Linked DNA regions of Diceros bicornis minor. The protein of the gene in region 3 interacts with the protein of the main gene of each other region in a pairwise test. Links are inferred from orthologs where the notes say so. Each region holds a gene or a part of one and is shown on either strand. Other genes may lie near its edges.

Region 1 (7,197 bases), on a different chromosome or scaffold from region 3:
TAGACTAACCTAGGACATCTCTCAAATTTATGTCTATGTAGCCTCTTTCTAAATAGGGCTAATTTGTCAGAAAAGCTGAAAAAGATTATCATTAGCAAACAAAATAGTCTCTTTTCAGTAAAATGATATGCGGGAAATTAGGAGAAAGAGCTGGGAAAGTATAAAGGTGAACTATAGCCTAACTGCTCTTGCAACACAAAATGAAATTGGATGCTGGAGAATGCCAGAGATGTCATAAAAGGTGCTTCTGCTGTGGAGAAGGGACATTTCATGCATGTTTTTCAGTCCAGAAGTTGACAGAGATGACACATATAGTGAAAAAACTATTTGAAAATCTAAAGTGATAAGCAGAGCTTACTGAAAAGCTGAGAGGTTGAAACATGGGAGATAGCAGTGAATGGATTCTCAGTTTGATTTTTGGCTGCATTCAGCCCAGATTTGGTTGCAGCATATGGGCATGATCTTTAAATATGCTCAATAATACATCATTAATCTCCAACATTTCAACCAGTGAAGATTATCAAGATGTGACTGAGTCATTTTTGCCACAGTTGGGTCCGCTTTAGGATTATCTGCTGGCTTATCTTCATCATTAAGATACTGAATATACGTGTGTGTGTGTGTGTGTGTATTGTATCTCCAAGGCTCGACACTTGAGCAAGCCACTTGAAATTATAGAGATTGTCATTATTGATATTCTTGGTATAGTGAAGAAATTATGTCCCGTCTCTTATCTCAAACACTTATATGAGCAACTTTTCTCCTCAAATGTCAGCCAACTTCACTGTGGAAGAGTGTTCTCATTGCCCATTTCTTCACTGTATTAGTGAGGACAGGTTAAAATTCTTTAACAAACAGACCCAAATTTCTTTCTTTCTCCTGTAATAGTCCATGTTGGTTCTAGCCAGCAGGGCAGTTCTCCTCCACAAAATCATTTGGGAAGTCATTTCTTCTGTCTGTGGCTGTATCCTTCTCTGGGCCTTGTGCCCATTTGTATCCCACAGTGAAAGGGGAAAGGACATGGAAAAGAACGTGTGAGAGATTTTATCCCTCCAGCAGGTAAGCAATATTTTTCATTTGCTCCAGAAAAACCTGATTGGTTTACCAGAGAAGTCAGCTATGATGGCTATCTGCCATTATCGAATGAAGTTTCCCAACACATCACCACGTTTAGATAGTCATCTCTGTTCTCTGTTCTTATTGTGAGCACATATTTTGATGTTCTGGCACACAAAAGTTCTATATTTACATTCTTTTATTTTTCTTTTCAACAATAATGAGCCACTTCTGATCAACTGATCTATTTGTGTGAATTGCAACACAACGACAACAATGAAAATGACATAGTTAACAAGCAAAAGCAGTAACATGCAAATGATGTGGAAGTACATTAGCCGGGAGGAATGGCATCCTGTTAAGTTGCGCTTATTGAGACACATTAGATGAGAAGACGACAGTTCGTCGCAATGACAAAGAGACTGTCACGTGGTCAAGCAGCAGCATGGCGGCACCTGCCAAGTTGGCTTTGCCACAGCTCCATAGATTCAGTCCATAAGGAGCCAAAATAGATTTAGTTTATTATCTACACGGCAAAAGAAAGATCAGCATGGTGTCAGCTCTCTGTGTCTGTAGTTCCACAGGATGACACCAAACAGGAGGGGCTAGATGACGGATCACAGGAACCTTGGGCCCCTCTGTTGGTGAGGAGCAGGGCTGGGTCAGCACCTGTAGGAAACTGAGAGTGAGTGCCTTCTTAAATTTTGCCCACTAGGTGCCTCGCTTGCTTACCCTAGTCCCTGCCCTGTGGAGGAGCCAACACTCAACTACTGTCAAGCAGTTATATAGATTTTCACAGAAATTTGCAGCTGTACCTAAGGTTGGAGCGGGGGCGCAAGGCAGAAAGTTCTGCCTTTTACTAAAACTAGGGAGATAGGTGAGAAATGACCTGTGGTCAACTCCTCCACGAGAGAGATGAGAAACTGCCTCAAAACGTTTCCACGCCACGCTGATCTCCCCTTGCTCCAGGAGGAATTTCAGGCCTTTCAGAGCTGTTAGCCTTGCCTACATAGACTTTGTGGAGATGTTCAAAGTCACTAGGATGCCACAGAGTTGTTCCCCCAGAGACCAGTATCTGAAATAAGAAGACAAAACTGAATGTATTGCTTCCTATAGTAAGGGAAAGCTGTGTTCGTCATGCACGGTCTCTACAAGCAGAGCAGACTGCTGATCTTACATTGAGTTTTTGGGTACGGTGGCATTCACGGACTGGCAAATTTTCAGAGTCATGAGAGATTGCTATCACCTGTAAGAAGCTGGTTGTTGATGTTGGTGCTCAGAGACATGCGTACTGGGCTGTGTGTGATTGGCTGGCTGTCAGAGTCAGGGCTGTTCTTGATAGGTGGTCCTTGATGGATTGGGTGGGTTCTGACTGCTATTTGTTTCCAGGGCTTCAGGGCAATTGGTATTTTCCTAGAAGTCAGACCTCTTTTTTTTTTTTTGGTGAGGAAGATCGGCCCTGAGCTAACATCCCCTGCCAATCTTCCTTTTTTTGCTGAGGAAGATCGTCCCTGAACTAACATCTGTGCCCATCTTCCTCTATTTTGTATATGGGACACCGCCACAGCATGGCTTGATGAGTGGTGCGTATGTCCATGCCGGGGATCCGAACCTGTGAACCCTAGGCTGCCGAAGCAGAGCACGTGAACTTAACCACTACTCCCCCAGGCCGGCCCCACAATCTCTTTTTATTTCTGATGGTGCTCAGGGCAAGCTACCCCAGGAGGCACCACTCTGGTATGCGGATTATTTCGAGCTGAAGACAATAAGGACTCAGAGAATTCAGGAAGAATATTTGAGTTTCCCCTCCCAAACTGCCTAAAGAATTTAAAACAAAAGATCTGTTTCAGGAAGGAGTTATTATCATGATTGCTGTAAAGATAATGTAGGATAGAAGTTACAATAGGAAAGGCACCAAGCCTCTTTTATCAAAAACTCTGTCTCTCCCTGACCACATTATCTATAGATGACCCTGAAAAGAATTGTCTTCCTGGCCTCTGAAGTCCCAGACCACTACCCACCCCCAACACGTTCCTCACCTTTAGCTGCAATACTTAAGCAAGCAGCTTAGACAGAGGGACGAGTTGCTCATTTTTGAGTTTCTCCCATGTATACATGTTATTAAACTTGGTATTATTTTCTGCTGCTAACCTATCTTGTTGATTATTTGGCCAGCCATAAGAACCTTAAGGAAAAGGGCAGAGGGAGATTCTCCCTCTCTCCCGACAGTTTCGAGAGGTAAAAGAATATCTATGAAAATAGCCTTTAATCACTGCTAAAATTTGTGAAACATCAGTGAACAAAATCACTCCATTGTTTTTTTTCTCTGAAACTTCCAAACTGCCTTCTGGCCACTTGATGGCTGTGGAGACCACTAGGGGCCAATTACATCTAGAAAAACCTTGTCCCAGCCTGAACTTTTGGAGTGAAGGGGCTAGGCCTTATTTATCTTTAGTCTCTTGCCTACCTTAGCACATAATAGGTACTCAATTCATGAATGAAATGTTAGGATTCACAATCCTTAGGAATGGCAGAAGAAGAAAAAAATAGGATTAGGCAGACAAGAAACTCACAGGTTTCATTAGGTTACTGTAGGACTGTTCTGTAAAAATTTGGTTGATGTCAGTACCATACCTATTTAGGTGAAATGCATGATGTGTGTATTTTATGTGTTCCAGGTGTGTGTCATATCACATAATTGTCAGGACCCCAGATATCTGACCCTGTTAAGAAGGATCATGAGGATGAAATCTGTGATGAGGACAGCTCCACCAACTTAGTGAACCTAGAACTCGTTCAGAGAAGCCAGCCCCCTGGGCCAGGGGGTTGCAAACCTCAACTTCCTGGCAATTCCACCCGTTTTCCATCGTCTTCCCTGATCTACTTTGTAACGGGAGCAGGATGGGAGCCAAGAAAGAGAAACGGAAGACAAGGGTTTGCAGAGCGCGGGGCTGGGGTCCGGAAAAGGGGGAGGGCTGGGTCGGAGGATGGGCGTCGGTGCCCGGGAGCGGCGGGGCGGCGGGAGGTGGCGCCGGGCTCGCATTGGCCCAGCGGGCGCCCCTCCTCGCGGGGCCGGCCCGGCGCGCCGAGAAAAGGAGCATTGCCCTGGGGCGGGAGGCGGAGGCGACCTCGGCGACAGAGGAGACATGGCTGAGTATACGCGGCTGCAGAACTGCCTGGCGCTGATCCGCCTCCGAAACCCGCCGGTCAACGCGATCAGGTAACGGGCTCGGTGGCCTCCAGCCCCGGGACAGCAGGGCCTTAGCCGTCTGCCCGCTGTGGTGGCTTTGACTCTCCTCTGCTGGTTTAAACGGAGAGAGGCACTAACACAGGTTGAACAACGGCATATGCCTTTTACGTAGGTTAGCTTGGTTCATGTTCGCAGAGAACTCGCATCCCGGTTTCACTGGTAAGAAACCGAGGCTGAGAGGTGGACAGAGGGCCACAAAGTTGGGGAGCTGGCCTTGAACCGGGTCTGTCCATGCCTTGCAACTTTGACTTCTCACCCGTACTTTCTATTCCAAAGGTCTAAGCGCAGTGCTGGCTAGACCTTGATCTCTCCCTTGCCAACTTGGAGTCCAGGCCACCCTTACAATGTGTAACTAAAAGCTCTAGGAATCCAACAATAAAGTGACTTCACATTCTTAAAAATAAATTAAGGTCTCCATTAATGCCAACTCAGTGAAGTAAAGGAGAATTGTGTCCTGGCCCAGAAAAGCACAGTTCTATCTCTTGATCTGTCTAAACCTCGGGGCCTTAGTGCTTCAGTGCTTGGAAGATCCAAGTCAGAGTAAGCCTATTAAATAACATTTTCTGAAAAACTGCTGTGCGGTTTATCTTCTTTTATTTTATCGTGGAGCACCTTCCTTGTTAAACTCTCTAACCCAGATTTGTGCAGTGCACTTAAGCAGTACTTTTAAAAGGGAGATTAATGCTGCTTTTTTGAAAATTAGCATAGGTTTGGTTCTTTCATATCTCTGAAAAAAGTATAGTGATACATCAGCCTAGTAGAGAGCCACCCCATCCCTAGGGAGTAGGATTAGCAGAATTTATGAAGAATATATAAAGTATGGAGAGAAAGACCTTTGCTCAAAATTCTTATTGCCTGCTGCTGGAGCAAAAAGGGACTGAACGAGGAGACCTGCTCATTTTAACTGAATTTTTTTCCTACTGTCATCAGATTTGATTATATCATTAGTATTAATATTATAATTCTTATCTTTGACATGAATTATTACATTTAATAATACAAAAAATATGCAAGAGTAAAATCACACAACGATGATATGTCTGCCTACTTGCCATTCTCAGAAAAAGGCAAAATAGCCATTATTTTGGTTTTGACCAAAAAAACCCATAAGCAATATGATTACATATCAATTTTAGACTTGTCTGTATTCTAATTAGAATGACTAGATACTAGGACTGTCTGCCTCAGCCTCTGCTCACAATGGGAAACCATGCCCATCAAGAATTTGGGGGAAAAATGTTCCACAGTGTAATACCTGTAACAAGGAATATTTTCTCATAGCTATTTTAAATATTTCAAGTATTTAACCTGCCCGCTTGCCCCCTGGAGAAATGTTAGTATGTACCTGATAAAGTTGTTGTGAGGTTTAAATGTGTTGGAGGAGGATGGGCGAAATGGCTGAAGGGGGTCAACTGTATGGTGATGGATGGTGACTGGACTTGCGGTGGTGATCACTTTGTAGTGTATGCAGATGTTGAATTATGAAGCTGTACAACTGCAACTTATACAATAAAAATACATAAATAAATGTGTTGGAGATTATAAACAGGCATTTAACAGATGTTAGCTATCATGATTTTTATTAGTCAGAGGCCTGTTATAAGCCCCTACCAACAGGCCCTGCTGCCCAGGATTCGTTTCAGCTTCATCAAGATTTTCTCCACTTGGGCATAAATACTTTTCTGCCCTTTCTCATCTATCTTCTTTTGAACTTATATTTTAGGTAGAGCTGTACATCCCAGCATGTTTATCAAGTTTAACAGGTTCCCTTTTTTTTGTGCTTTATATTTTTCTTTACTTCTTCTCTTTCTTTTCCCCTTCCTATTTCTAATTTTCTGTGGGAAATTATCTCTTCTTAGCTCACTGAGACATTCTTTTTTGAATACTTTTTGGCCCAAATAGTTTAAATCCTTCTCTGCTAGTTTAGCCAGCCATGTTTCCTTCCATTCAGATGAATGCCAACCCTCTTTACAAGTATAGGGCATGCCTGATTCCTAGGCCTGTCTCTCAGAACAATGGCTCTCCCACTTTTTTTTAACTGTAATCCACACAGTCAAAAACCCTGTTTTGTGTAGCAACCTAAGACACACAGACAAATACACAACTGAAAACAGTTTTGTGAGACAAAACTTGTCCTTATATGTTATATAATTTGATATATTCTATTTTCTCTTTTTCTGTATTTCTTGGTTTAAAAAAATGGTGGTCATAGCCATAAAGTTGATTTGACGACCTTTGGTTTAAAAAAAAAACCTAAAAAAAAAAGACCTCCTACAGTCACAGAAGCTAAAGAGTTTTGGTCAGCACTCATGAAATGTTATCTATTCCAGACTCCCCTTCTCCATACCTGACAATATTAAGGGGAGAAAATAATTTCTTGACCCCTGTGACCTTGACACTGCTCCTAGGCTGTGGTCTCTTTCAGGAGGCTTGAATCTAGTAAAGCTGTGTCTGTTACAGCCATCTTCATTTTTCTTTATTTCTTGTGTTTGATTTTTGCAAAATTGAAAGAACATAAGAAATAAAAGAGTAGGGGTTGGTTGAAATGGGAAAAGCCAAGCTCTTCTCCTCAGTGGCACTGTTTGAGCTCATTTTGGCTAATTTTGCAGCCATCATTTACCCAGAAGGAAATATGTGCCTTTTGTTGCTTTTGTTTTGTTTTCTTCTTCTTTTGTTTTTGTTTTCTTCTTCTTTTTTTTTCCTCCCCAAAGCCCCAGAACGTGGTTGTACATCCTAGTTGTAAGTCGTTCTAGTTCTTCTGTATGAGCCACTGCCACAGCATGGCTACTGACAGACCGGTGGTGTGGTTCTGTGACCCGGAACTGAACCCGGGCCACTGAAGTGGTGAGTGCCAAACTTGAACCATGAGGCCATCAGGGGTGGCTCAAATA
Region 2 (7,038 bases), on a different chromosome or scaffold from region 3:
ATGTAGAGGACATTCTGAGACAGCCTCTCTCCCTTCCCAAAGGCCCTGCAGCAGCCCTGCTGGGGGCTTGGCACAGAGTAGGGGCTCAATAAATATTTGCCAAATGAATGAGGGAATGAGGTCACCCTGTTTCTCCCCCAACTCTAATCCCAGAGTCCTCTAGGGAAGCAAATCTCAACCTCCTTCCCCCAACACCGTCATCAGCAATACATATTTATTCAGCATGCAGAGCACACTGGGTAATGCAGGTTGGGGGCAGGGTGGCCATCAGAGGTGACATGGCCTTTACCCACCTAAGCCTTTGGGAGATAAGGCTCAGGGAGGAGAAAAGGCTAACACCAAGGACACAGCTTGTGCTCTGGGTCACATGGTGAGCGGGCTACAGGCTGTAGGGAAATTGTAGTGAAATGAGTGAGTCTAATTTGACTCTCTCTTAATGTAAACGGGAAGCCTTGGGGACTTGTATGCCCCCGCCCCCCCAGGTCTCAGTCCTCCAGACACCAGTTCCCGGTCCAGGTGCCTGTCCTTACTGCCTGGAGGAGGTTGGAACCAATAGTCTGATATCTGGATATTCCAGGCCTCCTGCTCAGGGCAGGGGTCAAGGTCTTCCCAGGGCCAACTCCTGTAGGGAGAGCTCTAAAAAGAAGGAGGAACCACCAACTCCCACTTCCCAGGGCAACCCCCACTGAATGTCCTCTTCCAGCTAGGACAAGAGAACAACTGGGGGAGGGCACCTTGCAGGATCCCTGCCCCCCTCCCCTCTGACACGCAGCACCAAAGGTCCTTACAAGGGGAGCCAGGTGTGGACAGAGTATCCCAGGAAGGTAGGAAGGCACAGGCTATGCCACACCCACTTCTGGGCACTTAGGTAGGCACTTTAGTGCACTCCCCCACCTCCAAGGAAGTGACATCACCATACCCAGATGGCGAATACTGAGGCCTAGGGCCATTCATAAAGCTGGGGGAGCAGACCTGGAACTAGGACAAAGTCTCCCAACTCCTGGGCTAGCAATGCCTCCATCATATATTGTTCCCGCCTTATCTGGGTGAAAGTGCCCACAGCCTCTTCCCAACTCATGACTGTGGAGAAGAAGGTGGGCACAGGGAACTCAAGATGCAGAAGTCAAAATCCCTACCACCAGAGAAGGGCAAAAAACCCAGTGTGCAAGGACAGATAGTTCTTCAGCTAGCGCCTCCAAGCTGAAGTCCTGCCCTCCAGAGGCTGGCACGGTCATTGGGAAGGTCAGCACCCACATCCCTTGTGTCCACAATATGGCCCTCCTCTCCTCCAACCCAGCCAAGCCCAAGAGAGACAGCAGTGAAACAGCGGCAGCCCCATATGCCTCCTTCCTTCAAGACCAAGTTCAAATGTATTTCAGAACCTTAGAACACCACCCCCTCACCCTGACTCAGAGGCCAAAGGTCACTAAGGAAGCTCCAAAACCAAGGGGGAGGGGAGAGACAAAAAGTATCCAATGAACTGTCCTTTCCAAAACAAAACCTGGCTCCAGGTGGGCAGTGAACTTGGCCCCAGGGCTCTGCACCCCTCTTCCATCCCATGCCCCCTACCCCTGCCAGTTCAGATGCAAAGGAGGGAATATCTGGACTTAGAGCCAGCTTTGGGAGGTGGGAGAAAGGCACGACGAGGAGGGGGACAATCACAGAGGCCTCTCCTCCAGACTGGGGGGGAGATGCAGAGGGGAGGCAGATTCGCCTCAGGATCTTAGGGAGCTTACAAGAGGACTGCATCCTACCCCAAACTGCTGGAAACACCCAGTTCTAACTCTCCGCCCCCCTCCAAAAGTATAATGGCAACCAGATGAACGAGTCCAGCGTGGGGGGGGGGGGGCGACGCGTAAGGGCCCCCAGGGTACAGTGAATTTCAAAAATCCACCCTCCCCTCCCCCCAAACACCTCCCCCTTTTCTTGGCTTCCCCTGAACTCGGCCAATACCACCCTCCATTGGGGAAACCTGCTTTAAAAAGTTAGCTCTTTGTTCCACAAGCCGGTCTCAGGCTCTGAGCACAATTTCAGGAGATCTCTGCGAAGCACCCCCCACCCACCCTACTCCAGCACCCGACCCCGCCCCGCTCCAGCTGGGCGGCCGGGCACCGGGAGTTGGCTTCTAATCTGAGGTGGGGGCTGGGAAGCTATGGAGGAGGTCGGCTAGTCCATTAACCGATGAACCACTAAGGGAGCTGCAGGTCGTCCAAAAAAAGGGGTCTCGCAGTGGGGCTCGGGTCCTTATCTGAAGCTCAGTTCACCAGTTGCAACGCTTGCCGGCTGATAGCCCCCGCCCCCCAGTCTCCAGGCCAGGAAGCCGGGCCATTCAGGGCCACAGCAGACGGTTTCGCTCGGTCCCCCAACCTCTGCCCCGCCCCCCGCCGCCCCCTCCCCCAGCGCCCGGCGCTTCCGCCTACTTGGCGCTCGGCGCGGCGGGGAGAGGGAGCGGCCGTCTCTTCTCACTCTCCCGGCCCTACGGGGGCGGGACTGCACCCCTAACCTTCCCCCACCCCCCACCCCGGGGCCTGGCTTCCCACTCCTCTTCCGTCCTCCCAACCCCGGGGCAGAGCCCACTCTTCTCCAGTAGTGGCTGCCTGCCACGCGTGGACTCCTTGCCTCGCTTCGGATCTCCTGGTTTCCAGACTGGGGTCTGTCCCCACACCCCATGACACCGCCCTCCTTCCCTCCTCCCGGGATCGCGAGGATAAGGCGGCATAGACCCGGCCCCTCTCTCCTCCTCCAATCTGGAACCCTGCTCAGGGATTGCAAAAACGCGTCTCCCGGTCCCGGGGCTCACCTTATCCAGACAGTTCACCTTCTCCGTGGGGTACACGATCTTGCCGCACCGGGCGCAGTTGGGATTCATGGCTCCAGGAAAGGCTGGGGCGGGGACGCCCGAGCTCGCGCGCGTTCTCTTTCCCCGGAGCGAGCTGGCGGGAGGCGGCCGCGCCTGCAACTACACAGGCGGCGACGACCGCGGCTGGAGCTAGGGAACTGGCCTCCGCCTCCGCCCTCCTTCCCCTAATAAACACAGCGGGGAGGAGGGGCTGCACCGGGGCGGGGACGCGCCGCGGGCGCGGGCGCGGGCAGGGGCGCGCGCGGCGAGGCGCGCTCCCCGGGCGACGTGGGGCTGCGCGGGGGCGGATTCCGGGGAGGGCTGCGGGGCTGGGGGTGCGCGCCTAGGTGCGTTGGAGGGCCCCTGCGCCCGCACGCTTTCAAGCAGAAGGTGACTTGGAGAGGGGCGCCCGGAAGCCAGGCGCAGGCAGCCGGCTCTGCCCAGGGCCCTTCCCGCTCTGGAGGTGGCGTGGAGCCGGTCTGGCCGCCCATCTGGGTCCCCTGGGCTGCGGGAGGCGGGCAAACCCTACACACCCGTCGAGGGTGGGGCTGGAACCCTCCAGAACCCCCGACCAGATTCGAGGACTTTCCTTTGTACCCGTCGGTAACTAGTGTGAACCTGCGGACCGAACGGGAACCCCCTGCCCCGCCCCTCAGCTGCCCTTCCCCCCACATCCTTTCCCACATTTGTAGGGCGGAACCGTCCCTCCCGCCTGTACTCAGCGCCTCGCAGCCCGGGATACTTCTTTCTTTCCCGCGCCTCCGCCGTGCTGCTTTCCCGGGGTTCCCCGGATCCTTCTTTCCGCTTGGCCTCGTTTCCTCCTTCATTCTTTTCTCCTTACCCTTACACCTCACCCTCAGTGTAGCAGTGTCTCAACACCCAAAAGAGCCGTCTCCAGGTGCAGGAGCGGCGAGGGGGTATAGCTCAGTGGTAGAGCATTTGACTGCAGATCAAGAGGTCCCCGGTTCAAATCCGGGTGCCCCCTTTGTAGTTTTTCCTTTCTTCTATACCTAGCATTTTAACAATAGCTCCTAGGTTAAAAGAAAACAGAAAGACAATTTTTAAAAGAATCCCTTCCTCATTTTCCAACTTTAGCGGAAGCTTTCGATTTTGCTTTATACCCAGCAGAAGGGGGAGGGGCGGGTACGCGCACAAATCAGGTACAAAAGCTGCCCGTCGCCATTACCTGCGCCAGAGGTGTCAGGATTTCTGCGGCCACCGCCAGCAGCCTCAGATGTGTGAGGCAGTTCGAGGCGCCGGGTTCAAGGGACAAAATGACTCCCCCAAGTTGGCGTTCCGTTTCCAACGGGGTTGGGAGTGGGTCAAGAGAGGGAAACCCACAGACACAGCCTTTCTCCAACTTCAACTTTCTTTATTACCGGTGACATGGACGTGCTGTGTTCACCCTTCCCTATTGCTCATGACACAGGCGGAGTGAAAGCACTTCGAGAACGTTAAAATGGCCAATGCACACATATAAGCTCATTTTAATTTACAAAATTAAAGTTAGATCCTGATGCAAACTGATATAAACTAATGTAGTGGTTCTCAAACTTGAGCGTGCATCAGAATTACCTGGGGAACTTGTGAAAACACCCCCAGTTTCTGATTCTGTAGGCCTGGAGTGGGACTCTGAGAATTTTGCATTTCTAACAAATTCCCAGGTGACACTGATGCTGCTGGTCAGGGGACCACTCTTGGAGAACCACTGAACTAGTAATACACGCCCATCCAGTTTCATAACCTCAAGGTGGGGACAGATATCTGTTGGCTGCGTGACTGACAGTGTCACTGTTGGACGAGAGGAAAACGGTAAGTGTGAAGGGAGCAAAGGCGTCCGCCTCAACGGTTTTGCCCAAAAAAAGGAAAAATAAAGGAGAAAGGGAAAGGCATGCCGCCTAGGTCAGGGGGCCGCTGCGATATTTTAAACCCGGAATCTGGTTGTGTCATCCCTCGGCGCCCCAGGGGAATACTCGAGCGCGTTTTTTCCAAACCACGGCTCCCGTTACTGTGAAATGCATCGTGAGGCTGGACATGGAGATTGAGCAGAGCTGCTGTCCGGTGCAAAGCCCAGACCCGAGAAATAACCAGCTTTTCACTCCTTTCCTGGACACCAGGCCTTCAACTTATACTGCAGGTTTAGGTTTATCAGGCCAAAGCCCTGCCGTCGAGCTAGTATAAAGAAGAAAGCTGTCCACTTTTCACCGTCTTTTATCTGTGCTGTGTACTGTTACAAACTTCCCGTCTATATAAATCTTCTGAACTTTTGTTCTAGTCTTCCCGGTCAGAGTATGAACTGGGCAAAATAATATTCCCCTGCCCCGGCACTCCATTTTTACCCAAAAAGAAGCTGTAATTAACATTAAATCAATAGATCTGGAACTCTTGGAGATAGGAATACGGTAGTTCGGCACCTTCTCTCTACCTATTGAGAGCGCAGGTGGGCTTTTCGCCAGAGTCGGGGTGTACAGTTTAGACGCAGTCAAGTGATCCCTGTGCAAACTCTGGGGTGTTGCTCTCTACTTCTCAGGTACCGGGAACATTTGAATGAGGAAAACTGGGCGGGTGGAAGAGACAAGATCTTCCCGGGAGTTTTGGATTCAGAACCCGCAGACATCCGGGTTATTCTGAGTTACACCTGAGCGGATCTTCCACAGAGTTTTGGATTCGGAATCCGCAGACATTCTGGTTACTCTGGGTTATGCGAAAGTGGTTGGGAAAAACGTAAAGGTAGGAGAGGGGGCACCCGGATTTGAACCGGGGACCTCTTGATCTGCAGTCAAATGCTCTACCACTGAGCTATACCCCCTCTGGTGGCAAGGTTTTGGCAAATTCATTTTACAGCAATCTTAAATTTTTTTCATACTGAAAATTGTTCAAAATCAGTCCCTTCTTGCTAGATGATACTGAATTTACTAATAAGAAGGAATAAAAGAAAAAGACCAACTGAAGATATGGCATTTTGAAAACGTGAATTTGGGTACAAATCTGCCTTTTCTTGGCTCAACTCTTTATCCAAATCCCACCCATCTCTTTACCCTAAGAAGTCAGAGAACAACCTCTTGCACAACTGAATGGAGAGAATCCTTTCTCCTGGTCTCTGTAAAAAGAATACAAACACCAGCTAAAAAGATATCTCTACTGAGAGACCTTCCCTGGCTATACTCTCTAGTGTGGCTATACTCTCTCTTTTTATGGAGTAACTACTATGTGCCCTACTTTAGGTGCAGAACATACTTTCAGTAGAAAGACACAACGGTTCTCACTCTCACTGACTTTGAAATCTAGTGAAGACACACTAGAAACAAATGCACAAACGAATAAACAGGGAAATGCCCAGTAGTGATACCAGAGATGTTTAGAATTAAAAAAAGATGATGTGTTAGAAAGGTTCAGGGGGGCTATTTCAGGTTGGATAACCATGGAAGACCTTTCTGTGCAGGAGATTTTACAGTTAAGACCTGAATGACATGAAAGAAACAGCCATTTGGCCATCTGTGGGGCGGGGGTTGGGGGGGCGGGGGGGGGCATTCCAGGTAGAGGAAATGGTTACTGCAAAGGCCCCAGGGACAGAATGGCTGGAAGAAGGTAGACAAGGAGAGAGAGATTCAAGAGAGCTGGAGCCAAGTAGCCAGGGCTGAAAAGGGCCTTGTAGGCCAAGGTAAGGAGGTTGGATTTTATTCTAAATGGATGAAAAGCCAACCATTGGACAGTTTGAAGCAGAGGGATTTGAAATCATCACCCACACTGCTGTGGGGAAGATTTTATAGGGAGTCAAGAATACATACACACAATGGAGTATTATTCAGCCTTAAAAAAGAAGGAAATCTTGCAATATGCAACAACATGGGATATTATGCTAAGTGAAATAAGCCAATCATAGAAGGACAAATACGGCATGATTCCACTTATATGAGCTATCTAAAGCCATCAAACTCATAGAAGCAGAGAGTAGAATGGTGGGTGCCAGGGATGAGGGGAGAGAAATGGGGAGTTGCTAATCAATGGGATCAAGTTTCACTTGTGGAAGATGAATAAGTTCTAGAGATCTGCTATACAGCATTGTGCCTCTAGTTAACAATATTGTATTGTATACTTAAAAATCTGTTAAGGGGCTGGCCTGGTGGCACAAGCAGTTAAGTGCGCGCGCTCCACTGCGGCGGCCCGGGGTTCGTCGGTTCGGATCCTGGGCGTGCACC
Region 3 (7,310 bases):
ATTCTCCCCCCAACATAACCCAGCTGCATACAGATCACATCCAAGTCTTTGCAATTCTGTTCTCATGTTGTCCCTCCCACATAAATTACTCATCAGTCCACTGTCAACTTGGATTTCAGGACAGTTTATTTTAAGAAATTAAGTAACCTGTGATAATCTCCCCATTCCAATATCTACCCTTCTACCTCTCAACCAAGGGGCTGTCCTGTGTAGGTGGGGATGGAAAGGGAGGCAGTGTGGTCCCACCGCACAGTTACTCTTCAGCCTTCAGCATGCCCTGTCTCAGCCCTGAGTCCCTCTGACCACGGCCACTTGTTCAGAGCAGTGGTGCTACCCTGAGAGCATTTTAGGTCAGTTGCCATCTCCTGAGTTCACTGGTCATATTCCAGTAACTGTGATCAATATATGAGTGATCAGTGGTGGTCAAAGGTAGACAAGAGGCACAAGCTGTTGAGGGAAAACCCTCTATTAAAGAGGATTCTAGGAATGTCATGTGGAATGCTCAATTTGTTAAAGTGCTCAACTACAACATAAAAAATAAAGGTGTTGGGAAGGTATCTACTGGTGAGAAAGCAAGTTATGATCTGAGGGGCTTCTAGAAAGATACAACAAAAAAAGTACATAAAGAGAACTCTGCTCACATTATTTCAGCAATGATGAGGGAGTGGAAAAACTTAGAGCTTAGTCTCTGAATTACTAGAACTCTGAACCAAACAAATCCCTAGATGGAGACTAGCTCCTTGACCATCTCATGGAGTTCGAATGAAACATTTATCACTATGTCTTTTTGTTCTAACTCTTCTCTCATCAAATAAAACTTCTAATCTGAAATCTGGTTTCCTGTAGGAAAAGGTCTATTATGGGCAAGCGATCAATTTACTTATGGCCTGTAAACCACTTTCTTGTAGGATTGTTAGCAAAAACCGGGGGTGAGACAAGAAATCTGAGTTTCCAAATCTGCTAGGTTGAGGCCCACACCCAAGAGCAAGAGGTCCATAATGCATCTATCCTCTTGGCATGATTACAAGATCCAGGATTGGGGTGCCATGGTAGCGAGGGTAAGGATCCGTCAGCAGCAGTGGCTCTCGTGTACTGGAAGTTAGTTTTGGCCTCCACAGTCACTTGTAAGTCCAGTGAGCAGTGGCCCAGCCCTGGCCCTTGCAGAGGTCCCGGTGGCGAAGGAAACAGGCATGAACTCGGAACCGACGGCCACAGTGGGGACACGCGTGCAGGGCTCCGGCATGGGTCTTCATGTGCTCTGTCAGATGGTGCTTCAGCTTGAAGCGCTTGTTGCAGATGCCACAGCCAAAGGGCCGAAGGCTGAAGGTCAGCATGATGTGCCGGTCACGCTTTGGCTTCACTGCAAACCGCTTCCCACACAAGCAACCAAAGCGTTTTCCATCTGCAGGGGGTGCCCCTCCTAGCTTCACAGGCCCGTGCACGGCCTGCCCCGCTCCCCCAGGTCCCCCACCTCCTGACAGGATTTCATTCCCGTGAAGATCCACTGGTTTCCAAGATGAACTCCCTCCTCCAGATGTTGCCCCTGCTCCTGAGGGCAGCAAGAACCCTAGCCCCCCATTCCCTTCTGCGTCCCCTCCAGCAAATACTGTGGTCTCCTCCTTTGCTCCTCCAGACTGAGTTCCACCTCCTGGTATCTCCTCCTTAGGCTCAAAGGGTTCCTGCTTAATGTAAAAGATTTTGGGGGGCAGTGCAGTATGAGGGGCAGGAGGCTCAAGGGGTGCACTCTCACCATCTGGAAGTCTGCGGGGAGCAGTGGAAAGGGGCAGTGGGTGGGATCCATGAGGGCGGGGAAAACCCCCTGACACTCTCTGAGGTTGAGGAGTCTGAGAGGGGGCTGCTGAGCCCTGGTCCTCCTCCTCCTCCTCCTCTTCTTCTTCTTCCTCCTCCTCCTCTTCCTCAACTTGAATCTGTAACACATCTCCCAGTTCACTCTCATCCCCTCCAACAGGACTCTCGGTAGAAGCGGAAGACGGCACTGGGGTCTGGAAAGGGGAAGAGCGAATGCACCAGGCTCCTGCAGAGGATGTGGTGGCAAGAGGCGCGTGGCAAGCGGTCGACCCACGGGTTGAAATCCCACCTGAGGTTTCGAGTTCTCTAAGAATCTCTGAGCACTGATCTACGACTTGCCACATCTGGAGGCCACTGGCCACAAGGAGGTGGGCAGGGAGAGCGTCCAGCGGCAGGCGCAGGCGCCCTGAATAAATGAGCTGGAGCAGCCCCTCGAAAGCATCAGCCTCAATGACGCTGGGCAGAGTGAGGCGCGGCGCGTCCCCCAGAAGAAGTTTGTCATGGAAGTAAGGAGAGGCAGCGGCCAGCACTGCTTTGTGAGCCCTAAGTTCCCGGCCCTGCACTAGGAGCGACACATCACAGAACTTTCCCTCCAGCCTGTGGCGGTTCAGGGCTTCCAGCAGCAACGAGCTGTGCTGAGGGAACTCGATCTGGATCGTCCGTGGGGCTGGGTTGCAGCTCGGGGAGGGGGGTACGGGAGGCAAAGGCGTCGAGGCATCCATGGCCTCCTGGGAAAGAGAGACCCCAGAGGATCGAGAGCAGGAGATGAGGGGCTGGGGCCGGCCCCACGTGGGATGAAGGCTGTGGAGGAAAGAGATGGGGGTCACAGAAGCTCTGGCTAACGGGAACCGTGTCTCCTCACACTACCCCCGCCTCCCCTACCCCCGACAGCTGGAAACTTGTCAGTCAGCGGCGGTTTCTGCCGATCAGTCCCGCGCACGCCTCCACCGAGAAAACAAAAACCACCACCCGCGACAAGACACCAACCGGGGTTTTCACTTCCAGGACGGCGGAGGAGGATGAGGCGGTGCTTCAGCCACGAGCCTGACCTCGCCGGCCCTGCCCGCCGCCCCGTTCAACCTCACGGCGCCTAAAGAGCCCGGCTCCCGGGAAGCCGCGCCCACCGGGAGAGCGCGAGCGCCGGCCAGCCGGCCCTCCCCGCTGCCACTCCCCCGCGGGTAGGCACGCGGCGAGACCGTGGCGCCTCGGCAGCCACGGCGCCGTCCCGGGCCGGAAGCCGCCGCCTCCTCGCCGGACGCCGTCGCCGGGCGCGGCGGGCGGAGCTGGGGCCGCAGCCAATGGAGGGGAGCGGAGGCCTACAAGTCTCATGTTGATTGGTTGCGCCGGCGAGAAGGCGGTGCTGGCTGGAGGCCGCCGGCCCCCGCGGCGGGGGGTCGGGTGGTCGCCCCGGCGGGAGGGGCGAAGTGCGACCCCGGAGAGCACAGGCAGGGCGGACGGGGTGGCCGGGAGTCATTCCGGCGATTAAACGTAGCGCCCGCCCCCCGGTCGGTGCTGAGAGGGCGAGATTAAATGGGCACCTACTGTGTGGGCTAGGCGTTGTCCACATCACCCTGTGCCCACCCCCCGCCCCGCGAGGTAGGTGCTGCCATCCTGTTTCCTCGGGCGAAACCGAGGCTGGCAAGCGGTGGGCCTCCTACGATTGGAACCCAGATTTGCTAAGGAACCAAGTTCTTTCCTCCATTCCGCACGGGAGCATTTTAACCAGCAATTAAACAAACCTTATTTCTAGGTAATTTTTTTTTTAAAATGATACATGTAGACATATACATCGATTCTTTTATCAGATGCCGCTGCTTGTTCCTAGACCCTTTTACTCCTTGGGGTTAAGTGGAGCAGTGGTGAAGGCAGAGCTGGAGCGGGCGCGTTTGGCCAGTGCAAAAGCCCTGTTCTAAAACAGAATGAATCTCCTGGCTGGGTGGGAGAGTGATTCTAGGGGAGATTAGATTCTAGGGGGAGACTATAGCATCACACAGGGATATACAGTTTCTCCCAGGCTATCAGCTTCCTCTCAAAAAGCAGATCCTATCACCCTGCTGGTCCATCTGGAGGTCCCAGCCTAGGAATGTCAGCACAGCGATAAAAGAACAATCTCCGTTTATTAAACATGATTTTTCTGTTTCACCACACACTCCAGAAAAAAAGGAAATGGGGCTGGGAGTGGAGAAAAAGGGGCAATGGTGCGGGACAAGAGAAGGGTGGGAGTGGGGTGGGGTGGGGAGGGAGAACGAGAAAACAAAATAAAACAGGTAGGAAGAGCATCTCCCTACCCTTAGGGGGGGTGGGTGAAGAGGGAAGCGTGGAGGGGAGGGGGCCAGGAAGCTCTGTACAGAGGGGTTGCCCCCAGCCCACACACACACACCCCGGATATGTACAGTACAAACCCCAGATAATTACAACAGCCAAAGAAGAGAGGAGGAAAAGGGGTCCAGGGGTAGGGTCTGAGGTTGGGAAAGCAAGGACAGGGCACAGGGATAAAATATCACATATTTACAACTTTTATATAAGTATAAATTTGGCCCCGGCTGGGTGTATGTGTGTAGGGGGATGGGACTGAAGGGGAACTGTCCATACAAAAGAAAGAAGGGTGGAGTCTGGGAAGAGTCTCAATACCAAACGCAAGAAGGGATGAGGGGGCAAGGCTGGGTAGGGGACAGCAGTCAGGGAAGAGGGGGTGCCAAGGAGGGGCTTTTCCCCTCCCATGACGTACCCACCCCAAACCCCATCCATCCTACCTCCCCTATCCCGCCAGAGAGCTATATACAGAGAAACACCGAAAAATTGTGGAGCTGGCGGGAGGGAGGGAGGTGGAGGGAGATTGAGGAGGGGGGAGGATGAGAGGGAAGCCCAGCCCTGTCCTACCTCCCCCCGGGGGACAGAGTCATGGAAGGGGGCCCCCAACACCCCTTCTCCAACACAGGTCCCCCCACCCTGGGGGAGAGAGACATGGCTTTTCCTAGAGTAAGTTCCCCTCTCCCCCTGGGAGTAGAGACCAAGAAGAGAGAGGGGAGGGGCAGGGGGGACTGTGTGTGTCAGGGGAGGGCAGATCAACTAGTCTGTCCTCCCCAACATACACACCCTCCTAAACCCTAACCCTTCACCCTAACCTCAATTCCACCCCACCCAACACACTGGGGGAGGGGGGGGCATAAGCCCCCTCACCCCGCTCTGGGACCAGCCAAGAGCAGATCAGGTGTGGGAGGAACGGGAGATAACTCCCATTCCCCCCTTGCCGCCCCCTCCCTGCCCCGGTGGCCCCTCCACCCCATCTGGGTTCTGGGTGGGAAGGGAGTAAATTTAAGAGTGGTAGAGGAGAAGGAGTTTGTGCGTGCTGAGCCCCCCCAGACGCTCCTGAGAAATCAAGGGGTAATAGGGCCCCCTCACCTGGGGTCCCCTCCCCATAACAACGGGGACAGGGGGAGGCCAAAATGGGGCGGTGGAGGGGAGTTAGATTGTCAGCTCTGGTTACTGCTAAAAAAATCACCCTGAAGTTGAAAGTTTGGAGGTGCCACACCCCCAGGGTGGGGGCGAGGGTCTGTCCCCCAGTGCTCAGGGGAACGATGAGGCAGAGGATGGGGATAGCACCCCGGAGTGAAGGGGTCTGTGTGGGGTAGGTGGTGTCCTGGGGCAAGGGTCCTTAGGGGTCACGGGGCAGCACCCCAACAGGAAGAAAAGGGGGCAGCTAAGGGTCCCCGTTCTCCCTCCTGGAAATGGTGCAGTGGGGGTGGGGGATTGGTGCCCCCCAAGGAGGCATTCAGGGAGGCAATCCCGCTGTCCCTCGGCGACGTCCATTCCTGGTGGTTGGTGCTGTTCCAGGGTGGGGTGCATGGGGAGGGAGAACAAGGTCTGTGATGCTGGGTGGGCTAGTGGTCTGCGGTGTTTCGGAACTCGCCGTTCTCGGTGATCTGCAGCCGGGGTGGGGGGGGCGGGGCTGGGGGGGCCAGGCCGTTCCAAGGTGGGGCCAGCGTCACACGCGGGTTTGTTGGACCCAAGGGGGGAAGCTGCCTCTCCTGCAAGACACCAAAGAGGAGAGCGCGGACTTATTGAGACGCTTCGCGGGGGCCTGGGTGCCAGCCCCCTAGCAGTGGTCTCCCCCATAGCCAGCCCACTCCATAAATTGTGTCCACCCCCTCCCCCCAGATCCACCCCCTCCCCCACCTTCCTATTTTCTTTCTCACCTGCCGTAGAAAGATCCTCATCTTCTGGGATCAGAGAGAAGAGAATCTCACCCCAGACTCCTAACAGGGGCCTTCAACCCAGGGAGTCACTCACACCAGGAAACCAGTTCAAAAGAATCAAGTTCCCACCTCACCCCCAACCTAACCCTTGTTATCTTCCTGCGCCCAGCCCACCCTCCTCCTCTTGGAACCCCCTCCCAGCCCACCCCCAATCCGAGGTAGGAGCTTTGTGTTGAGGGAACAAGGGGAGGCAGTACAGCAAAACCTCATTAATCCAAACCCCCATGGATTTGGAATTTTTTCATAATTTGAACAAAAACTGGGCTTGAGTTTTCCTTTATCTGTGAAGAAAGGGTGTGCTAAGCAAATTAATAGTGGAAATGTGCCTGTGGGAGAGAATATTTAACCTATACCAGAAAACAGACTTTTCAGGCCTGTGTATTCATTAACGCATGCTCCCTGAGGGCCTCAAGTGGAAAAGCCTTGTTCATTGAGTTCTACTTACTGTATATATTTTGAAGACATGCATTTCATTAAATAGACACAGTCATTCAGTTTTGTCACTTATTCAGAGTGGCCATCTTCTCAAACATAACATTCCAAATTAGAGAGGTTTAACTGTACTGGGTGGGGGAAAGGAAGGGGATTCAGGGAAGTGATGTGGGAAGGTAAAAATACTGTGGGAGGGCTGCCTCTCGCTCATGCTAACAGCAGAGGCAGAAACGACTAGGAGCTTCTGCAGAGACACAGCATGCCCCAATCTCTGCATCCCCAGGAAGCAGAAACACTTCATTCCTTTCCACCCCCGCGTTCCTTTCAGTCCCTCTCCGTGGGCTCCCACTTAGAGAGTGAGGGGTACCAAACCTTACTCCCACCCTGGTCCTATTCTATCACCCCCTGCCGCTCCTGGACCAACTCCTGGCTCCTGCCCTCAGCTCTGGCTTCTGTTCCTCTGTTGGGAGAGAAGAAAGCCATCTGTACTACACTTCTGGTCCCTCACTTGACTTTTTAAAATAGAGGCACAAAATTAATTTTTAAATTAATGGCTGAGTTGCAGAGGGACCAGTACCTAAAAGTGGTTTAGAAAAGTATCCAAATTTATTTCCTGGGCCACAGGGCATTTAGGCCTGGCAACCCAGTTATGTCTGACCATATCTCTAAAGGAAACAAACACATTCCAAGTAGAGGCTCCTAAATCAGCTCTCCCTTCCAAATCAAAGAGCTCACCTCTCAGAAGGTCACCAAAACCCCAGCCTTAAGCAAAGCTGCCCTCTTAGCTTGCTGAGCATATCACACACTTTACAC
Region 4 (8,008 bases), on a different chromosome or scaffold from region 3:
AGACTTCCATCCTCCACAACTGTATCAAACTCATTCGTCATGAGCTCCCCGAGGAAGTCCTCCACCTCATCTAGCTCCAAGTCAGCTGAGTAGGAAAGGACAGGGCCCTATGGTCAAAGACCAGCCAACTTCATCACTCCTGACCACTACTCTTCAGTACCTACTTGGTGGGTCCACATCTGATTGGTGGGTAAAGGTCCAAACAGTGGGCCTTTTATTTGCTGAAGTGCTCTGCATTCCAAGTTTTAACATGATTTAAAAAAAAAAAAACAACACTAAATATAAATACCTGATTTCCAATTTCCTGCATCCTACTAAGCTCCCTATTCCCACAGCATCCCAGCCACACTCACCCTCTTTCATCTGGCCTATTTTAACCAGCTTCCTCTCTATGTGACCTTGAGCAAGTTACATATTCATCTCTGCCTCAGTTTCTCCTCTGCCAAGTGGGGCTAATAGTGGCCTCCTTGAAGGTCTGTTATAAGGAGTCATCCAAACAATGCATAGCACAGGGGAGACCCATAATCCATGTTAATTCCCATCACTCAAGAGCTGAAGTTTTTGAAGTGTAGAGACCCTTCACAACTGTGGCTCCACTGATACAGGAGGCCACAAACCAATGGGATCGGTAAGAAGAAATGGATGTAAGTACCTGCAATGATGAAATCATCATAGCCTTGACACCAACATCCTATTGTGTGACTTTGGCTGAGCCTTCCAGCCTTCCTCTCTAGGCTTCAGTTACCTTATGCTCTACTTTTTCTGAATTACAGAATAACTCAAGAAAGTCTTCCACAAAGTTCCTCTCTCTCTCTCCCCCCTCTGGGAGAGCTCATTCACCCCCTTGGCTTTCCCTACCACTCTAACCTAATATCCCCCAAATCTGTCTCCAACCCAAACTACTCTCCCCCTGTTTCACAGGTGCCTCAGAACCTCCATATCCAAAGCCAGACTCATGACCTAACCCTCCAAACCTACTTCTCACTCTCCAGGTTTCCTTTATTCCATGAAAGACACCTAATCCACCTGATGATACAAACCAGAAACCTGCCTACTTTTCCCTCCCCCTCTACAGCCAAACAATCTCCAAAGCCCTAATCCACTCCTTCTTTTCCATGGCTTTTGCCACTGCCCTAGTTCAGGCCTCATCATTTTCCAGACAGAAACAGCCTTCTCATCGGTCTTTTCCTCTCCAGTCTATGCTCCATACTGATTACTTTTTCAACTTTCTAGCCAGCAAATCCCATCCTATTACTCACCTTAGAACCCACCCATGAATTTTTATCACCTACTGCAGTGTTTCACATTCTGCTTTTGAGAAATAACTGTCCTGTTGGGTTTAAAGGGAAGGTATCCACAGAAAGCTAATGTGAAACAAAGGCAAACAGCTTTCTTTTTAGTGATTTTTATCCTTATCCAAACCTTTAACTCAAGTAGGAGCTGAAGAAAAGAGCTTTTCTTACATAACTTGACCGGAGAAGTTTTTTCTTCACCGAACATCTAATGGAACTAGTCTTCCATAGCATACATTTTGGCAAACGCTGGCCTAAACGACAAAATCAAAGGCACATAAGGCCTTCCAACGTCTTACCCTTTTCCGGGGGCCTCTCCACCCTGCAGCTTCATTCTCTATCATTCCTCCCCTCCACAAACCCACAAGCATACACTCACCATTACTCCAATACTGAGCTCCCTGCCAATTTTCCAAATGTCACACATAATCTCCTCATAGCACAGAACTTAAAGTATTTGAGTGTTGCTCTCTCTGCCTCCTCCACCTAGTTAACTTCTTCTCATCCCTTAAGACTCAGCCCAATCACCACCTCCCCTAACAATTTCCAAAAGAAATCTCCTTCCTACTCTCATGTTACCCAAGCACGCTGAGCTCCTCTTTATTAGAACATATATCACACCGTGTGTACATGCCTACTTACTTATCTGGATCCCTCACTAGATGGTTAAACTTGCTTGAAAGAAAGGACTCTGCCTAATATCATCTCCAAGCTAAAAAACTGAATGAAGAATTTTGTAAACATCATAGCACGCAAAATGCCCTCTGCAGGACCCCTTATTCTTATATGACCCCCAAGACACAGCAAAGGTGTAGATCTTTGCTGTGCAAATAGCCAAACGTGGTTACTGAGCACTTAAAATGTGGCTAGGCCAAATTGAGATGTGCTAAAACTATAAAATACTCACCAGATTTTTAAAACGCAATGCTAAAAAAGGATGTAAAATATCTTAATAACATTATATTGATTAAATGTTGAAATATTTTGGATATATCGAGTTAAATAACATTAATTTCATCTGCTTTTTACTTTACAAAAGTGGCTGCTGAAAATTTTTAAATTACATGATGTGACTCGCATTATATTCCTATTGGACACCAATGGGGTGGATACTTTTCTACCCATTTTAGGAATTAGAAAACTGAGTCTCAGGAAGGTAAAATGACTTGTCCGGAGTTATACCATGAGTCAACGGCACAGCCCGTAAGGCATCCGAACTCAGGATTCTGACTAAAGCCTCTATTCACTCCACCTCGCCCTCAGGTCCCAGGCGACAATTGCTCAAGAGGAAGTGCGGGCTCCCCAGGACCGGCCTCCTCCCCACACTCCCACACAGACAGGTCGCAGCCCCTCATATTCACTCACCATTGCGGAAAAAGTACTCCTCCACTGCAACCCCCAGCCACTCAGCCTTCTCCTGGCTGTGCACGCCCCCAAAGCCATTCTCCACAGCGATCTACAAACACAGGTCAAAGCCCACAACGTCAGCCTGGGAGCCGGCTTGGGGTGGCGTAGGGGTTCGCCGCTTACGCCGCCCAGCCAAACCTCAGGCGCCTCGCCCGGCCAACTCCTGTTCTGCCCCAGGCCCTAACCTTTATCCTGGCCGCGGCTCCACTCACCTGCAAGGCCGGCCAGGCCTCCAGCGCCGCGCGGACGCCAGCCCGGAAGAGCGCTCTGGAGTCTTCTCCAGCATCCGCCATCATGCGGCCGCAGACCACGTGACGCCCAGGCAGCCCAATCCCTACTGAGTACGGCCCAGGCAGAATGAGTCGGAAGCCGAGCCTGAGAACGCAGATTCACCTTTCCACTGACTGGGCAGCAAGACTAGAGCAATAGAAAAGTCTGTCAGAGCAATCGATGACACCACCCCAGTTAGGCACATTTAACAATTAAATCAAAGGAGTGGAGGAAGCTGGGGTCATGGGTTCTGGACCTGTGGAAACTGTGCGGAAAAGATGTGAGGAACTTATTAAAGATACAGATTCCGGGGGCCGGCCCCGTGGCATAGCAGTTAAGTGTGCGGACTCCGCTGCTGGCGGCCCGGGTTCCGATCCCGGGCGCGCACCAAGGCAGCGCTTGTCAAGCCATGCTGTGGCGGCGTCCCATATAAAGTGGAGGAAGATGGGCACGGATGTTAGCCCAGGGCCAGTCTTCCTCAGCAAAAAAAAAAAAAAAGAGGAGGTTTGGCATGGATGTTAGCTCAGGGCTGATGTTCCTCACAAAAGAAAAAAATACAGATTCGACTCTGGGACAGAGGAATCAACCTCAGAGAGCATAACCTAAAATTCTGCATTTCAAAAAAGCATCCTAACATCTATAGAACAATGCACCTGACAACAGCAGAATACATAATTTTCTTAAGTGCACATGGAACATGAACAGACCATATACTGTGTCATAAAGCAGGCTGCAAACAGTTAAAAAGACTGAAGTCATACAAAGTATGTTCTCTGGCAACAATGGAGTGAAATTAGAAATCAACAACAGAGAGAAATTTATGACATTCAAAATATGTGGAAATGAACACATTTCTAAATAACAAATGGGTCAAAGAAAAAAATCACAAGAGAAATTAGAAAACATCTTGAAATGAACGAAAAGGAAGGCACAGCACACCAAAATTTATGAGATGCAGCTAAAGCAATGCTTAAAGGGAATTTTATAGCTACAAACACATATTAAAAAAGAAGAAAGATCTCATATTAATAACCTAACCTCCACCAAAGCAAGCAGAAGGAAGGAAATAATAAAGATTGGGGAGGAAATAAATGGAATAGAAAACAGGAAAACAATACAGACCAAAGCAATCCTGAGAAAAAGAACAAAGTTGGAGCTATCACACTCCCTCACTTCAAAATATACTAAAAAGCTGTATACATTGTACTGCCAGAAAAATAGACACAAATCAATGGAACAGAATTGAGAGCCCAGAAATAAACCCAAACATTTAGGGACAGCAAATTTTTGAGAAAGGAGCAAAGAACATACAATGGAGAAAGGAAAGTCTCTTCAATAAATGGTGCTGGGAAAACTGGACAGTCACATGCAAGAGAATGAAAGTAGACTATTTTCTTACACCATACACAAAAATTAACTCAAAATGGATTAAAGACTTGAATCTAAGACCTGAAACCATAAAAATCCCAGAAGAAAGCATAGGCAAGTACACTCTTTGACATCAGTCTTAGCAGGAGGTTTTTGATTTTTTGGGTTGTTTGTTTTTTGTGAGTAAGATTAGCCCTGAACTAACATCTGTTGCCAATCCTCCTCTTTTTGCTGAGGAAGATGGGCACTGGGATAACATCCATGCCCATCTTCCTCTACTTCATTTGGGACGCCACCACAGCATGGCTTGACAGGCGGTGCATCAGTCCGCACCGGGGATCCGAACCTGAGAACGCTGGGGGCCACCGAAGCGGAGCACATTAACTTAACCACTATGCCACCAGGCCGGCCACTTGCAGGATGTTTTTGAATATCATGTTCTCTGAGGCAAGGGAAACAAAAGAAAAAATAAACAAAGGAGACTACATCAAACTAAAAAGCTTCTGTGCAGCAAAGGAACCCATGAACAAAGTGAAAAAACAACCCACCAACTGGGAGAAAATATTTGCAAATTATATATCTGATAAGGGGTTAATATCCAAAATATATAAAGAATTCATACAACTCAAGAACAAAAAAAGAACAACTCGATCAAAAAAATGGGCAGAGGATCTGAACAGACATTTTTCCAAAGAAGATATACAGATGGCCAACAGGCACATGAAAAAATATTCAACATCACAGTTGTTAGGGAAATGCAAATAAAAACTACAATGACATATCACCTCATACCCATTCAGAATGGCTATTATTAAAAAGACAAGAAATAACAAGTGTTGAAGAAGATGTGGAGAAAAAGGAACCCTGTACACTGCTGGTGGGAATATAAATTGGTGTAGCCACTGTGAAAAACAGTATACAGACTTCTCAAAAAATTAAAAATAGAAATACTATATGATCCAAATATTCCACTTCTGGGTATTTATCCAAAGAACAAGAAAACACTAATTTGAAAAGCTATGCATACCCCTATGTTCATTGTGGCATTATTCACAATAGCCAACATGTGGAAGCAATCCAAGTGCCCATCAATGGATAAGATGTGCTGTGTGTGTGTGTATATATATACATATATATATATATATATATATATATATGTATAATGGAATACTACTGAGCCATAAAAAAGACAAAATCATGCCATTTGCAACAACATGGACAGACATTGAGGGTATTATGCTAAATGAAATGTCAGATGAGAAAGACAATTACCATATGACTTCATTCATATCTATAAGTTAAACAAACACTCCATATGGAGAACAGATTGGTGGTTATCCAAGGGGAAGGGGTGGGGGGGAGGGTGAAAGGGGTAAAGGGTCACATGTGTACAGTGACAGATGGAAGCTAGACTTTTTATGGTGAACACGATGCAGTCTATACAGAAGCCAAAATACAACAATGGGCACCTGAAATTTACATAAGGTTATAAACCAGTGTGACCTCAATAAAATAAATAAGGGAAAAAAAACAATAGAGAAAATCAGTGCAACCAAAAATCAGTTATTTGAAAAGATCAACAAAATTGACAAACTTTTAGCTAGATCAACTAAGTAAAAAAGAGAGAAGAACAATTACCGAAATCACGAACGAAAGAGGTGACATCACTACCAACCAGTCAAAAAAGACCACATATCGTATGAAACCATTTATATGAAATGTACAGAATAGGAAAATCTATAGAGACAGAAAATAGATTAATGGCTGCCCAGGGCTTGGGGAGGGGGGAAATGGGGTGTGACTCGTAATGGGTACAGAGTTTCTTTTTTTTTCAATTATTTTTATTGACAGTTTATTTATAGTTTATAGCATTCTGTAATTTCAGGTGTATATTATTATTTATCAATTTTGGTATAGAGTGCATCGTTACCCCTCTGGTAACCACTAATCTATTCTCTTTATTCATGTGTTTGTTTATCTTACACATATGAGTGAAATCATGCAGTATTTGTCTTTCTCTGTCTAGCTTATTTTGCTTAACATCATACACTCAAGGTCCATCCATGTTGTTACAAATAGGATGATTTTGTCTTCTTTTATGGCTGAGTACTATTCCATTGTATATATACCATATCTTCTTTATCCATTCATCTGTTGATGGGCACTTGTGTTACTTCCATGTCTGGGGTATTGTGAATAATGCCCCAATGAACATAGGAGTGCGCGTATCTTTTCAAATTAGTGTTTTCTTGTTCTTTGGATAAATACCCAATAGTGGGATAGCTGGATCATATGGTATTTCTATTTTTAATTTTTTGAGAAATCTCCATACTGTTTTCCATAGTGGCTGCACTAGTTTGTAATACCACCAGCAGTGTATGAGGGTTCCCTATTCTCCACACCCTCTCCAAAATTTGTTATTTTTTGTCTGGGTAATTATAGCCATTCTATCAGGTTTAAGGTGATATGTCATTGTGGTTATGATTTGCATTTCCCTAATAATTAGTAATGTTGAGCATCATTTCATGTGCCTTTTGGCCATCTGTATATCTTCTTTAAATTAATCCCTTGTCAGATATATGATTTGCAAGTATTTTCTCCCAGTTGGTGGGTTGTCTTTTCGTTTTGTGCATGGTTTCCTTTGCCTTGCAGAAGCCCTTTAGTCTGATGTAGTCCCATTTGTTTATTTTTCCTTTGTTTCCCATGCCTGAGTAGACAGGGTATTCGAAAAGATGCTGCTAAGACTGATGTCAAAGAGTGTACTGCCTATATTTTCTTCTAAGAGTTTTAGGGTTTCAGGTCTTACACTCAAGTCTTTAATCCATTTTGAGTTAAATTTTGTGTATGGTGTAAGATAATGGTCTATTTTCATTCTTTTGTATGTGGTTGTCCAGTTTTCCCAACACCATTTATTGAAGAGACTTTCCTTTCTCAATTGTATGTTCTTGTCTCCTTTATCAAAGATTAGCTGTCCATAGATGTGTGGTTTTATTTCTGGGCTTTAAATTCTGTTCCATTGATCTGTGTGTCTGTTTTTGTGGCAGTACCATGCTGTTTTGATTACTATAGCTTTGCAGTATATTTTAAAGTCAGGGATTGTGATGCCTCCAGCTTTGTTCTTTTTTCTCAGGATTGCTTTAGCTATTCAGGGTCTTTTGTTGTTCCATATGAATTTTAGGATTCTTTGGTCTATTTCCATGAAAACTGTCATTGGGATACTGATAGGGATTGCATTGAATCTGTAGATTGCTTTAGGTAATATGGACATTTTAACTATGTTTATTCTTCCAATCCATGTGAGTGGAATATCTTTCCATTTCTTTATGTCATCTTCAATTTCTTTCAATAATGTCTTATAGTTTTCAGTGTATAGGTTTTCACCTCATTGGTTAAATTTATTCCTAGATATTTTATTCTTTTTGTTGAGATTGTAAACAGGATTGTATTCTTGACTTCTCTTTCTGCAAGTTCGTTATTAGTGTATAGAGATGCGACTGATTTTTGTATGTTGATTTTGTACCCTGCAACTTTGCTATAGTTGCTGATTATTTCTTATAGTTTTCTGGTGGATTCTTTAGGGTATTCTATATATAATATCATGTCATCCGTAAACAGCAAGATTTTCACTTCTTCCTTTCCAATTTAGATACCTTTTGTTTCTTTTTATTGCC

The links.
Region 1: the proteins of ZBTB9 (region 3) and EHHADH interact in binary tests that used the Homo sapiens proteins (3 or more experiments, as listed by UniProt). The two-hybrid records come from large-scale screens. The link is inferred for Diceros bicornis minor from reciprocal best matches to the Homo sapiens genes ZBTB9 and EHHADH.
Region 2: the proteins of ZBTB9 (region 3) and LASP1 interact in binary tests that used the Homo sapiens proteins (3 or more experiments, as listed by UniProt). The two-hybrid records come from large-scale screens. The link is inferred for Diceros bicornis minor from reciprocal best matches to the Homo sapiens genes ZBTB9 and LASP1.
Region 4: the proteins of ZBTB9 (region 3) and TSR2 interact in binary tests that used the Homo sapiens proteins (3 or more experiments, as listed by UniProt). The two-hybrid records come from large-scale screens. The link is inferred for Diceros bicornis minor from reciprocal best matches to the Homo sapiens genes ZBTB9 and TSR2.

Annotation. Positions count from the first base shown.
Region 1 is NC_080754.1:38,515,237-38,522,433, forward strand, and holds the start of EHHADH (peroxisomal bifunctional enzyme), read left to right. Parts: upstream 1-4,186; 5' UTR 4,187-4,202; coding exon 4,203-4,276; intron 4,277-7,197. UniProt on the Homo sapiens protein: Peroxisomal trifunctional enzyme possessing 2-enoyl-CoA hydratase, 3-hydroxyacyl-CoA dehydrogenase, and delta 3, delta 2-enoyl-CoA isomerase activities. Catalyzes two of the four reactions of the long chain fatty acids peroxisomal beta-oxidation pathway.
Region 2 is NC_080757.1:38,784,809-38,791,846, reverse strand, and holds the start of LASP1 (LIM and SH3 domain protein 1), read right to left. Parts: upstream 3,008-7,038; 5' UTR 2,870-3,007; coding exon 2,801-2,869; intron 1-2,800. UniProt on the Homo sapiens protein: Plays an important role in the regulation of dynamic actin-based, cytoskeletal activities.
Region 3 is NC_080753.1:31,037,400-31,044,709, forward strand, and holds ZBTB9 (zinc finger and BTB domain-containing protein 9), read right to left. Parts: upstream 3,003-7,310; 5' UTR 2,797-3,002; intron 2,611-2,796; 5' UTR 2,532-2,610; coding exon 1,119-2,531; 3' UTR 104-1,118; downstream 1-103. Other genes in the region: SYNGAP1 (ras/Rap GTPase-activating protein SynGAP), read right to left, coding at 5,691-5,837. UniProt on the Homo sapiens protein: May be involved in transcriptional regulation.
Region 4 is NC_080781.1:45,615,536-45,623,543, forward strand, and holds the start of TSR2 (pre-rRNA-processing protein TSR2 homolog), read right to left. Parts: upstream 3,011-8,008; 5' UTR 2,996-3,010; coding exon of another isoform or gene 2,986-2,995; coding exon 2,912-2,985; intron 2,749-2,911; coding exon 2,658-2,748; intron 108-2,657; coding exon 1-107. UniProt on the Homo sapiens protein: May be involved in 20S pre-rRNA processing.